2 linked regions of the Styela clava genome follow. The protein of the gene in region 2 interacts with the protein of the main gene of each other region in a pairwise test. Links are inferred from orthologs where the notes say so. Each region holds a gene or a part of one and is shown on either strand. Other genes may lie near its edges.

What was found.
Region 1: the proteins of small ubiquitin-related modifier 2-A-like (region 2) and E3 SUMO-protein ligase PIAS2-like interact in a two-hybrid assay, tested with the Caenorhabditis elegans proteins (2 studies listed by BioGRID). The link is inferred for Styela clava from reciprocal best matches to the Caenorhabditis elegans genes smo-1 and gei-17.

Annotation. Positions count from the first base shown.
Region 1 is NC_135261.1:9,102,475-9,110,772, forward strand, and holds the start of E3 SUMO-protein ligase PIAS2-like, read right to left. Parts: upstream 3,225-8,298; 5' UTR 3,215-3,224; intron 255-3,214; coding exon of another isoform or gene 63-254; exon of another isoform or gene 1-62. Other genes in the region: cGMP-dependent protein kinase 1-like, read left to right, coding at 63-254, 5,397-5,501, 6,193-6,294, 6,605-6,733, 7,688-7,855. UniProt on the Caenorhabditis elegans protein: Functions as an E3-type smo-1 ligase. Mediates smo-1 conjugation to air-2 in vitro and is required for proper chromosome alignment.
Region 2 is NC_135251.1:15,394,253-15,400,821, forward strand, and holds small ubiquitin-related modifier 2-A-like, read right to left. Parts: upstream 2,052-6,569; 5' UTR 1,913-2,051; coding exon 1,628-1,912; 3' UTR 735-1,627; downstream 1-734. Other genes in the region: mitochondrial ribosome-associated GTPase 2-like, read right to left, coding at 1-57, 543-692. UniProt on the Caenorhabditis elegans protein: Ubiquitin-like protein which can be covalently attached to target lysines as a monomer. Does not seem to be involved in protein degradation and may function as an antagonist of ubiquitin in the degradation process.

The sequences.
Region 1 (8,298 bases), on a different chromosome or scaffold from region 2:
TCAATTTTAGGATAGTACTATTTATATTTGGCTACACATTATTGCTTTGAACACAGGAAAAAATGTCGTTTCTACTATGTTGCTGTCCGAAAAACAAAGCAGATGGAAAGGGACAAGAATCTTACAAGAACTACCCAGAAGAAATTAGGGAGCTCGAAGAAAAACTGAATCAGAAACAAGTTGAACTGGAATCAATGCAAGAAAAATGTGCAGAACTAAATAAAAATCTTACTGCACTTCAACAAGAATTTCGAGTAAGTGACAAAAGCTTAAGAAAAATTCACGTTTAATTTTCAGTGCTTGAATATTATAAAAACACAAGATAGGGAATAAATTTTTTTAAAGTTAGTTCTGTTTGACCTTGTTATATCGTTTGTGACGTAATTTTCGATGACGTAGTCAGATGGGGTCGAGCATAATATATATATATATAGAAAAGTTGAAGGCCGTACCCACTACGAGTACTCACTATAGAAATGTCCCTATGTATCGGTAATTTTTCGATATCAGTATCGGTTAAAATAGGCCGATATATTTAGCACTTTAATCTGATTTAGAATGTTTCAAGCAGATAAGTTAGTATACGTATGTCGATAACGGATCATGTCCGCGGCATCTTTTGCCTCCGAGTCTATTGCTCACATCATAGCGAGTAGAAACAGGTATTAGGGCGTTCGTTTTTTGGTACCATGACGTTTTATTACAATTTAAACTTCTTACTGTTTTGAAATCAAGTTATTATCATTTATACTTTCAATTTGACAATTTGATAGGTTATGCAGATTTTACCTGTTTTTAGCTATTCATGAACCATTTCATCTCAACTTATTTGACTATCTTCGCTGGCAAAGTTTTTTGTTTACATTTTCAATAATAAATGGTAAACATGACAAAATATCTATCAGACATCATGGTGAATTTTCCCGTTGCGTGACTCTTCATTCCTCGCGCCAACATCGAAACATCTACATAAACTACCATAAGATAGTTTACTTTGTGATTCCTATGGGAGAAAAGTCGATAAGACGGCTTAACCATGGGCGTACTACAACCTCTCGTCCGATTATCAGTACATGTCAGGTAGAGGAATAATTATCTAGTTATTTTATTCAGTCGTATAGATTTAAGGAAAGTGTTGGGATCCAAATTTCCATGATATAAAGCAGTCAACGATGTGATTACTTCACGTATTTTAATAAACCGTTGGTTATTCAATCTGAAATACTGTTCACTGTAGACATAGTTCGCAGACAACTTTTATAGTGATATCGGTCAGGGTTGTCCAAAACGAATCGAATATTCGAAATTATTCGAATATCAAGGTATTCGAATACCTTTTCGGCTCATTTCCGAATAATTACGAATAGTAGTCACTTTTCGCCGTAAACACGGTGTTTCGTTTTACCGGAATCTTCAAACGACTTTTTACGCTTTCTCACGTATTACATGACGATGAGTCGGCATTTTGATTGTTTATATTCAGCGCGAATGTACGTCGCATAGTGTTGCGACACATTTGCACGTTTGCGTTGGTGGACATTGCCGACATTCGTCTTTTAATTCACAAAATCATTTCCATTAGTCGAAAAATCGACAATCACCGTATTTCCCGGCTAATAAGTCGCTTTTCTAGACCCAATTTTGGCTTGATTTTTTGGGGGGAGGGGCGCCTTATTGAGAAAGCATGTTTATTTTATTTCTATGTGGCCTGCTTATTTTTCGCATTAGTCTTCTCAAGCATAATTTGTGTTAAACCTTATATTTGGTTCTTATGGGTGTGCCAATCATGATATTTAATCGTAGGCCGGTTATCGTTACTTAAAAGAGAAAACACGGCCACCGCCACCGAGATAAAGTAAGTGATTTATGACCCTTTGGTTTTGCCGATTCAGCAGAAAACGACAGGGACATGAAACACAGCTGTGAAATAACCCGTGGACGTACCGTGTGGTACTTATCACATTCCAAAATTATTTCAACATTCGGGTTGATAGGTTGTCCAAAATGATTGCCGCTTTATAATTTAAATTTACCGCTTCGTTGTTGAGAATAGTTAATTCCGTGAGTATGGTTCTACCAAACAAACATGATCTGGTTCTGTTCTGACCCTATAAAATTATAGATTGTTCAAAATGATTGTGATTTTTAACTTAAAATTACCGCTTTATTGTTAAAAATAGTTAATTCTGTGAGTATGATTCTACTAAACAAACGTGATCTGGTTCTAAACATTATTATTAGCGCATATTAGCATAACTGAACAACAGGGAATAATTTTTCTACCCGTCTTCTTGGCGGCCTATATGGGAAACCCCCTTTTTTGAGTGCTAAAAATATACATCGTCCTATTTGCCATGTAGGCTTATTAGCCGGGAAATACGGTATTTATAGCCGTAATTGTTACGATATCCAATAAATTGTCACAAGTTGGGAAACAAGTTGATTTATTAGAAAAATACTTTCACCCGCTTTCTGGAAAATAATTTTGATAATGATGGTCAAAAGTATCGATAATGAAAGTATTAATACCAAATACCACGGGTATTTGTGGGCATGAAATGTGTGGTGAACTGCCCAATTATAATTATTTTCGGATTCGTATTTACAAAATATTAAAACTATTATAACTCAAAAATACAACGGCGATTTGTGGACTTGAATGTGTAATAAAGTATAAATTATTTTTCCTACTTGTGACAATTTTTTCGAGTACGAAAATAAGAATCAAAAATTAATTATATCCGGGCACAATATCACGGCATTCTGTGGACATAAATTGTGAGGCAAACTCGCGATTGATATTAATTTTTGATTCCTATTTTCGTATTTACAAAATACAACGGTGATCTGTGGACATTGAACGTGTGGTAAACTACCCGATTATAAATAATTTTTGAACCCTATTTTCGTATTTATAAAATAATAAAAGTATTATTACACAAACATACAACGGCGATCTGCGGACTTAAAATGTGTGGTAAAGTTCCCGAATATATTTACTTTTTGATCCGTATTTTTGTACTCACAAAAAAATTGTCACAAGTCTGAAAATGAACTCATACTTTATCCCGCTTTTTGACAAATAATTTGGATAATGGTTGGTATTTAAAAGTATGGGCGTTTTACTAGGATGATTTTGTGTTGCGCAAGCATTCAAATCCATCACCGATACCACTATTTAAAATGCCTTGTCGTATTATTTTAATTCTGTTAATTAATACAACTCATGTTATATAAAATATATATCGCAATAATCTGCAAACATGAAATGCCTGGTAATATAGCCAGGTTGTAGATAGAAGTTATTCCATTGTTTATTGTATGAAAATTCCTTCATACACTTAGATTCTATTACTGGATTTTACTTTCGAAGTATTCGAAATTTCATATTCGAAAATAATAATTTCGAATGTATTCGAAATAGTGAACTATTCGGTATTGGCCATCCCTGATATCGGTACATCTTAGTAATTACTACATCAACGAAAATGGGTGCCGTACAGAACAAAAATCTTGGCCTCGCCAATACGTCGCATAACACCGTTGATTGTTGTATTTTGAGAACCTTGTCAGTTGTAATCCTTCACGGACCTGGAATTTACTTGACCTTATAGATTTGGTTTATCTTGCATCAGAGCCTATATAATACGTTGATGCAGCGCGTTCACTACCGTATATCTTTGTGTTGAAATTTGCAGTGGTTTGAGTAATTGTCTGAGACATTTTGTCAATAAAATTACATAGATCCAGCATACAATAAATTCTTTCGCTAGCAAAAGAGGATTTATTGGCTTTGGCTAAATTCAACACAACTCGTTATAATTAGGATAAAACCACTTTATACTGATTTTATTTATATCAGTCTTCTTTAGTGCACAAATTTTAATGTCAGATTAAATATTGCCATATGTTGGTTCTTATATGCCCTGTACATTACATAGATCACAGATCGTTAGCACTATGCTTGACATAACCGGCAATGGGACATGCTCACAACAATATAGGCTAATCAACACTATATATAATTATTTATACACGCATAAAATGTTACCATTACAATTTTCTCTCTAAAAATGAGCACCATTTTCTTAATATTTGTTGGTAATAAATTGTAGTATTTGATTAATACCCAAATCTATCGATTTCTCATATATTTGTTTGCAAAATTCGGCTAATTTTGGGCGTTGGTTTGCTGAATAAATATTTAACAAAATAGCATCGTCATGAGAGACCTTATTCTTGTTTGAACTTCCAACAAGGCCTTAAGACTGATGATTGATTGCAGTCAATATTAGTTGACTGAAATGAATTACATTCGTAGAATAAGTTTAAAATATGAGTGAATAAACTTGGCAAATATTCGAAGTAAACAGATGTTGGCCCGAGCCTTGACCCCAGAAATTTTTCTACAGTTAACCATTGCAAAATGGGATCTTTCGTACAACACCCGCGCCAAACGCTCAAAACAAGAAAATTTGTAAAAATCCGATTAGTGTTTGAGTTGCAGATTGCGTTGGAAATTGTCAAATCATTTTGAACCTCAACTAGATAATTACTAATTTGTTATTTAAAAACATAGCGGTGTCGTTTTCCCAAATCCCACAATTTTGCATTAGTGTCGGGGGCTTTCTACAAAAGATCCGCAAAAAGTTTGATGTTTATTACAGCAATGTTTTCGTGGTTTGAAATGTACAAACTAGTTCACATGTTCATAACCATCATTTTGATTCAACGTATCTGCTTACCTGCTATTAAAAGTACCGGTAGCTAATTTTAGGATAGTCTATCTCGGCTTTTTAGAGAATAACTGTTGATTCTGTAACTAAACTGAAACGTCAGAAAATCAATCTAACGTTTCTGTCATGCTCAAAAATCCCTCTGGGTGTTTGAACGGCTAAAAGTTGTTTGAACGGCTGCTAAAAGTTCAATTGTTGCGTCACATTCGAAATTTTGCTGACTAGTTAATGTCAGCCACTACGCCACCGTAATCACGCATATATATAGAAGAAACCTCGAATGAACTACGCGGGAATTTGTATCGAACTAGCATCGCATGCGCTCTCTCACCATCACAACGACGGGTTAATTAAAATATTATACAATGTCATACCTAATCTGGGACAATTTAAATCATAAGTTGATTTTGTTTGGTCCCGCAGAATACAGCTGCGCAGAATTGATGCATTGGAGCTGATAAATAATTCCGACTACATGACTAACTTAAACATCCTTATCGTAAAAATAAACACTGCTTTCGGAGCGATCTTCGGATATAAGGTTAACATTTTGCGTTACTAAGCATTCGTCAAACAAACACCAAACACTGCTTTTTACTTATGAACTTATTGTAATTTTAAGCCACGGCAGAAAATATTCACAAATTAAATTTTATTCAGGAAAAATCGGAATCAGAAAGTGAGCTCAAAACGAATTTGAGTTCAAAAGATGATGAGATATTAGAGTTGAATAACAGCGTAAAAGCTCTGGAAGAGAAACTTGACGTATGATTTCACTGAGTGAAATGCGAATCAGTGTGCTGTTTAATTCCCTCTAATTGATTTTTGAACCTAATGATTATTTTTAATTAATTTTATGTTTTATTTATCGTAACTATTCATTGGTAAAATCAATAATTAATTTTGAGGCTTAATTCAAAAATAATTTAAGTTGTTTCAAATTTCAATACATATATATGATTTAATTTTAAAATCTTTAAATACGAACATCATTGGAATACGTAATCGTTTATCATCAAATAATTTATCATATATTTACAACTATCGCTAAATACAAAACAATATCGGACTACATTGAGTCTGCTACCGTAACAGTACATATTTGGGCGCTCCCGAAGATGGTTCACAACCTGAACCCTAACCTGGTATACACATACTATGTTCAGGTTGTGCGCCATCTTGGTGCACATACTCTTGGAGTTGAAACTAATAACTAAATGTTTCAATGCTATACATGTAATGATATAAATCATTTATATAATTATAAAAAATCGAATGACAATACATAACTCTTGGCTTTGCTTTACTCTTTCTGCCGTGAAGACACAAATACATTTACGACGACACGGCGCAAATTACATGCAATAATTTGCACTGCTGTGAACTTCAGTGCCGAAATAAACTCGCGTTAGCGCGTTAGCATTCGGAGAAATTTATATTTTTCTTATGTTTCTAGATAAACGATAAAAATTTCCAACGAAAAGAGAAAGAATGGGGAGAAAAATTGCAAGAAAAAGACAAGAAAATCAAACAAATGGAGGGAACTTTTATAGATGTTGTAAGTTGACTCTTCTTATCTGGTTAGGTTAGATTACTACTTTGAATACAATCTCAATGCCCGGTTTACCTAAAGTCATTGTCCTTATAAATTTTCATATCACAAACTCATGTTGGAAATTGTTTTATTTTTTATTCAAATTTGTTTAAATTACAGCTGTTTTAAATTAATACACTGATAAATTTTGTTCATTCATTTGCATTAACATGCCATAAATGTCTCGAGATCAAGCCTTACGAAACCATGACTACGGGAAACTTAAAATAATGATTAAAGATTGTCAATAACCAATTTTATTCGTTTCTCTTAGATGCCGCCTGTAGAAAAACGACCTCAAAGGCGTCATCGTCCCGGTGTTGGAGGAAACACGGTGAAAAATGATAACGTGAAAGCTGTAAAAGTTGAAAAAAATCTGAATGACAGAAAGTTTTTATTGGATGTAAGTATTTTGATACCTTATATAATGGTTTATTCAATTCTTTCGATTTCCAGTCTAATTTTTAGACTTGCTGCTATTTTGTTAATGTGATAAAATTCAACCTCGTCACGTAGAGAAAATAGACTAGACAATTCAGTCAATGCGCCCTTTTCTGAACAAAAATTGGATCAATGAATCGTATTGCAAAACTGTTTTCGTGTCGTCTCGGCAACCAATGGACCTACAGATTTTGAACTGAAGATGGAGGAAAATGCCAGAAGATTAGCCGTTTCAGTCCTACGGGGCCTGGCCTTTTACTCTCATTTCGCTGGTTTTCATATATCACGGCCTCATCCTTCCGTGCTATTTAATATGACATTAGGTACAATTCTTGGAGCCGTTGGTCGAACATTTTATGAGATTGCAGTGGCCATATTAGTCATTTGACTTTCGTGTCCATATATTTAAGCATCGTTCTCTCGTGAGTGCTCAATTTCGTAATAGAAAAATATTAAAACAAAAGTCAAATAGAAATGCAGTTATTCAAACAATGTCATTTTAATTCAATACAATAAATATCAATCTCATCCAAATTGCTTCGACTTACTTTCAATTCACCGATAAGTAATTTGATACAAATTGATTTATTCATTTTTGTGTCTAATCAATATTTCCATCGTTATTCATTATCTTTGCGGAGAGAATTGTGGAAAGACAAATGTAGTCAATTTACATATCAGATTGCCTCATTCTACCACTCGCAGGTGCAAGTACTTTAAAAAATAAAAGAGTAATATTTTTTAATTAAAACAGATAATGTTCTAAAAACAGGTATAAAAAAGCATATAAATTTTGTTGATTTGTCAAATTTTGTTGGATTGGATAACCCAGATGCTGCTGACCTTGACTGTTTTTCATACAGCATTAAATTACTTTAGTCTGCTCTTTTGTAATATATTTGTTTCTCTATTTCAGGCAATCGCATCTAATGATCTTCTGAAACGTTCTGATGAAAGACAAAAGCAGGAAATGGTCGATTACATGCAGTATGAGGCGTTTCCTCAAAATAAAGTAATAATAAAGGAAGGAATGTACGGAGACCGATTTTATATAATTCAGATCGGAACATGTGATGTAACACAGGTAAATTTAACCTGTTAGTAGGATGAGTGAGTGACACACGGCCTGTGAACATTTCAATTTCAAGCAATCTTACAAAGTTCTTACAAAGATTACTTGACTTCGTATTTTTAAGTAAGGGAAATCATAAATTTTCAATAAACAATGTGAAACACAATTTTCCATTCGAATAGTACCGTATTATTTTCTCGATTCGCTGATTGTTGCACCATTTCAAGCTAGAATATCCCGCTCGTGTATGTGCTCAAAACAAACAAAATTTATACAGAGATTCCCAGGAATGGTTTTCCAACTTGAAAACGACCTTTGGACCTAGTATAAATATTTCGCTTTCGAAGCATACTGAATTCTAAAAATTAGACTACAGGCTAATAATGACGCAATTATAAAGTAAACGTTACTTATGACTCAGGAAAAGAACAGCTCGTTGAAACGACTAAATTAAA
Region 2 (6,569 bases):
ATCTCCTCCTTTGCCTGCATAGACTTTTATCAACTTGTGGTCAATGAACTTTTGAGCCTAAATAAAACAGAAATAGGTTTTATGGCATTCACACATAATATAACTTGAAGTATACAATTCATAGTTCATACATCCCACAAATAAAAATGAAATGAGGACACAAGTGGCATCAATTAATAAATGCATAACTTCAGTACTGATTGGCAAACTTCACATCGTTACATTTTACTCAATGTGCATTTTAACTGGTAGCAAGCAAACCATTCAAACTTAATGCAGTGATGTTATTCATGGCATAAGTGCCATCTAAAACTTTGGTCACAATGCGGATAGTAATATACCACATTAAACTAATTTATTTAAATTCGTAAAAAGCTAAAATCACTTCAGTCATTCTCTAAGTCAACCAAAAAAGGGTTTATTAAACTGTATCATTCAGATAGAAACAACTTGGAAAAAACTTTTGATTTGACACACTGGCATTCTATGAATCAAATATAAGGAACAGCCAATCACTACCTAAGGAATCGGCTATATCTTACCAATTCTTCTTCCGTTCTATATGGCTTGCCAGTGATAATTTTTTTCTTACGAGAATATTGAGATGAAATAGAGAAAGTATTGCAAATAAATGTGAAATGGCATGACTTGTTACAAAAAAGACTAATTATTCTATGTGATATACAAAGCATTTAGCAGTTATATCATGCTATATATAGTGATTTTAATCTAAATTTACTAAAATATGACAGACAGACATTATTTTATAAACAATGAACAGAAAATGGAAATAGAATAAATGACAAAATGAAACATCTTCGAATCAATGCAGTTTTATTCTTCAGCACAAGGAATATTTCATTACCAAATAATAGCAGTTGTTGAATCGACTGATTTCAGGATTTCAAGGTTTATTTGCTTATAATAATGTGTGTCACTTGATAATAAAAACTCAACCAAAACACCATATTTCTATGATATTGTAACAGGACTACTTAAAAGAAACATACTAACATAGCCTAGAAAGAAAAACTTGATACCACAATTCAGCAATTTTAAAAAGGTCTAAATTGGAAACAAATATCAAAATAAATGGGAATACTATTTTCATTTTTGTAAAAATATGATTGAACAGAACAATTCAGCAATTAATGTAAACATAGAATTATAACAACTTTACATTACTCTGCTTTCCAGTTGTTCATAATGATTATTTTTCAAAGCCTTATTCAGTGTCAGCCAAATAATATGTTATATTATGTTTAACTCATATTCAACATTACTAGTACCTGGGTATTTGGTTGTAATGTCATATCTACTGTATCTGACAATAGAATACAATAATTAGCCAACATATCGAAATATTATGCGTATGCGGTATCATATTCTAATATATCATAGTCTCATCTGAATACCGAAATAGCCATTTGATAGATCACAAAACAGACAACTGGACAAGAGAGTATTCCATTTGTCCATGGCATTTTTGAGCAGTTTGTCAGTAAATTACCATTAAATCTCAGTCTCGGTGGGAACCACCATCATTTGATGGTCTATAAAGGCAGAAAGGTAAGATAATCATCATACTCTCAGTATAAACATTCCAGACAAGCTGCTTGGAAAATATTTACAGGTTTCCACCAGTTTGCTGAGTGAAAACATCTATTGTATCATCGTCCTCCATTTCAAGCTTTTCTGGGGTGTCCTCGAGCGAAATAGCCGTCCCGTCAAAACGAAACCGCATGGCTTCTATTTGAACTCCTTGCCGATCACAATATGCAGTAATCAGTTTTTTCATTGGCGTGCGACGTTTAATCTTGAATTGAATTACCGAGCCATCTTGTCCTGACACCTTTAGGTTTATATGTTGATCGCCGTCAGGCTTAACATCCTTAGGTTTTGCATCAGCCATCACAAGCCTGAACAATTCACACAACTTCTGTATTTCGTTAACAGTAAAGTCAAGCTGAATTGAGCCGCAGCGCAACAACAACCATCACAAAGCGTGGACGACGGCGCGGAATTAGTGCGCCATCTTCCGGGGCAGAATATTGATTACAAAAACTTGACTTGAAGTGTACCAATGGATAGTTTTGTTGGTATGTTGTTGTTCTCGTTAGCCTTTTCTTAGGTTACCGGCAAATGCTGGTTTGACGACTATCAATCAATCAATCAATACAACAGAACCACAAAAGGAGAAAAAATTGCAGGGGTCCCGGAAACATACACGATATAAAATTAGGCAATAACTTTTAAATACAAAACAATGAAAATTTCAGCAAACAGTGCGGGTCGAACTCGAAACGATGCATTGGTCGACTTCACGTTCAGTAAAATGCAAAACAATGAGAATTTCAGCGGACTGTGCGAGTCGAAACAACCCACGAGTTCACTTCAGCAAAATGCAAACGAGCAAAACAAAGTAAAATTGAGTGCTTTTTGTGCTTAGACCCAATTATCCCATCCAGTGGTTTTTGGAAGAGTATACCATATTAAACTTGCACAAATGCCCAATAGTTTCACTTTATAAATACTGGGTTCCAATATTAAGATAACAACGAAATAAAGTAACTTCCTCTAATTTTAACAGAGAGGAGAGTGTACATAAGCCATGTCAAAGAACGGGAAATGGAGATTCTCGATCACATATACAGGAGCATATAAACTTGTTCAATTCATCATATCTATCAGTGCAATGATAATGACGTTCATAATGATGATAAAAATTTGCACAGTTTTGAACAGGATTCCAGAATATGGCGGAAAAACAATTATTGCCGAATGAAGTGTGACCGAATATGTAAATTCTCATTTTATTATAAGACAAAAGCAAACTATACGTGCATTATTAACAGTGGCAGTTGCTGATAAATGCATATACACGGGATATATAATTAGAAGATTTACAGTATTATATACTAAATAAATATTAAAAATAAAAATGAGAAATTATTCGAACCAGCGACACGAACATATGATGGCATAGATTGTGGTTATACTATCACATGTGGAGTGATATTTTGCTAACAGTTTGTTTGCTGTTATCTTAGAGAAAGGCTTTTAACTCCGAATGTTGTTTTCTTGAATTGCATTTTACGACTTGTTTGTAAATTTATCTTATGCCGGCAGACGTCACTGATAAAGGTGGAAGTAGGGGTAAGCCTAGCAGACAATACAACTAAATTATGAACGCGTTATTGTAGATGTAGAGAGAGAGAGTGGGAAAGAAAGTTCATTTAATTTGTCAAAGCAAAAACACACGATTTATGCGGTGTCTTCAAAATGTCGTGTTCCACTTGTCTTACGTGTCCGACTCGTCCCACGTGTTCTACATTCAATCGTTAAATTTATCAAACCAAATAACTAGATGTCCATGTGATTCATTTGTTCGGTAAATTTTGTAATAATGATATTATTACTGTATACATAGTAAAACAATTAAGCAATGCTCGAATATATGAACACGGTGATTGCGCATAGGCATCGCTATGGCACACCGAGTTTGGTGAATAGATCGAAATGTTCCGAGAATGAAGCGATTCAACTTGGGCATCAGAGTCAGATGCCCCCTCGGGATTTAAGGACCTCGACAATAAATAATGATGTTTCATGAGTATTTTTTATTTGTGTCTTATTTTATTTGATAATTTTTTTATTGATATTTAAAGCACAGTTGACACAGTACAGTTACAGCATTATTGATCACTAATCATAAAATATACACATCCATAAACATATAAAGGGTGGGCATCAGTGATGAGCTGGAAAAATCGTAACAACCGGAACGCACCTAATTCACAAAAATGTAATATATTCCGAACACGACGCGGACGTTTACAGAACTGCAAATAAATTATATATATGAAATATGTTTGTGTGAAATTATTGAAGTATTCATAGCAATTCAATACAAACCTCATTAGGAAGGTATAGAATGAATTTTCACGGGGTGAAAGGTCGGGGGAACTTATACAACCGGAATGTCGTTCCGGCCACAGCTCACCACTGGTGGGCATTGGGTAACCTTTTTTGATTTGCGTGCCAAAATTGACTAAATAAAATGGCAAAATTCCTCCGCTCGGCAATGAATTTGTGAAAATGTATTAAATCAAATATGAATTTATTCTTTTTAAAAACAATGCTTTGCTACTTTCAAAGCAAAACCTGCAGGATAATAAACCTTTTAAACAGGTATTAAATTACATTTCAAGAAAATATTAGTCCGACAAAAATATTTTTATCAATTTTCTTTTGCTATTTCAGTGAGACTTCTGCTACTGTATTATCGTTGACATAAATTTTATATCAGGTTTATATTTTGGGTGCTCCCGAAGTATGCGAACCAAGATGGCGGACATCGGAACGTAACATGGGTAACAGGTTAGGGTTAGGCGATAATTTTTTTCCAATTTTCCTTATGTTAGTCCTATTATCAGTTCGAAGACTAGCCAAGAGCCTCTCGTAGTATTTATACCTAAAATTATGGCCTAACCCTAACCTAGTACAAATATTACATTCCGATGTCCACCATCTTGGTTCGCATACTTCGGGAGCCCCATATTTTGTAACCTTCAACGAAATACACAAACTAATACCTTCATCAGTCAGGTACTTCTTTTACGATACTTAAAAAAAGTTCATCACTGAGAACAGTAATTCACTTCCATATGCGGATGTAGATAATAAATAAGCAAGCCAAACTAGCACGCGATCTACAACTTCCTACAATATATTTCTTTGTAACGTGAAAAACGTCGTGAGAAAAGAATACATACACAGCAAAACGAAAAGAGCCAACTTGTTGCTTAATCCTTAGCACTACTAAGCCCTAGAACGGGATAAAGTACAGGTAAAGGTAGTCCAACCAAAATATCGATTACAAAATGCTGACAATTCACGATCTTAGGAAATAGGATTCCGTGTATCCGCGATATATGAAAAACTCGACGATTTGTGGCAGAGATTCCCTGTATTCGAAAATCCCTGACATTTAACATTTCTCCCTGGCGCAAATTTGACTACTGAAATCCCGGACATGTCAGGGAAAAATATAGCATATGGCAACCCTAGTTTAAGTAAAGAACGGATTGTTAACAAACGAAGATAAAACAAAAACATTAAGTTTCATCAGATAATACGACATTTATCTAAAGATGGCGCGGTGGTGTGGCTCATCGTGCTAAGCGTTAGGAATACGCCCGCTACCGCACCTCTGAAAACGTATGTTCGCAGGTCCGAATATCATGCGGGGATAGTAATATCATAGTTAACGGAATATTCAGTTAATAGGTAATGTGCAAGAGCATTGCTGGACTCCACGTCGCCGTAGAATGATTCACGTAACCGCTAGTCGGGTATACGGCTTTCTCCACCATCAAGTCCATGCTTCCGAAAACATACAAGAGAGCTGTGCTCAAATATATGGATACGTCACAAGGTGTCGCTATTTTATTCTGACATGAAAAAACGAATCTCTTGAAGTCCACAAAATTTTTGAAATAAGTAAAAACAATAGCCTTTTGACAAAAAAAAACAATCTTTAACCGCTGAAAATTTAGAAGCAATTGGTATAGTATTCGTAGAGAACAGCGATTTCATCATGACGAAAGAGAAAACTAACAAGAACAACAGCATAATATTGAAACGATCGTTATGTACACTGACGTGTCCAATTGTAAGGTCCAATAACTAACTAGTCCCATACCCGACATGGAATGGTAACTGGAGGGGCCATGGTTCGCTATATTATGTTTAAGCTGTCTTATCGGCTTTTCTCACCCCCAGGATAAGTATTCAAATCTTATCTAAGGGAGGACCACGTTTCCAAGAACACGCTCGCGTGCCAGATGGCTGTGCTTGGGTGCCAGGCTTGGAATGCGTGCCTCTAGTTGTATCGAGTAGGGATTTTTGTTTATTTTAGAGATAATATATCTCACACGGATTGAGAAATAAGGATACAGAATCACTCTGGAAACGTAGGTAAATATAGATCTACATTGTTCCTAATCATCAGTGCGCTGGTCTAATAATCTGTAGTCCAGTGCAAACTAAGGTGTTACACACACAAAATGCGTAATGTAAATTTAATTATAATTTGTGTTCATTGGATTCCGTTTTACAGTTGAGTTACTGGTTTACGGATAGTCAGATAATGTTATTTTGTCTTCAAGATATACTTTCCATTTTTGCGTTATGCTATGGCATTATGTCAATCAATTGATGATATTGAAGTTTTATATTTTTGGTTACTTTCTTTCATTTATCATTAACTTCGGACAGATATGTGGTGAAAACATTGCACTGAGGTTTAGAAACAAATAAGGTGGTGCAATATTGTTTACTTGATAATTTTAACATAATCAATGGGTTGGCTGGTCTAATCCAGGGGCGGGCAAGGTTTTTGGACCAAGGGCCAAAGATTTCGTCCACCTAGACTGTTGGGCAATGTAAGTGTAACGTAAAAGTTTTAAGTTGCAAACAATATTTAGTGTTACGATAGAAAAAGTGGAAAACTATAAACTCGAGTCAAAACTCAATTTAATCGCAATCTCAACAAATTCCTTGATCAT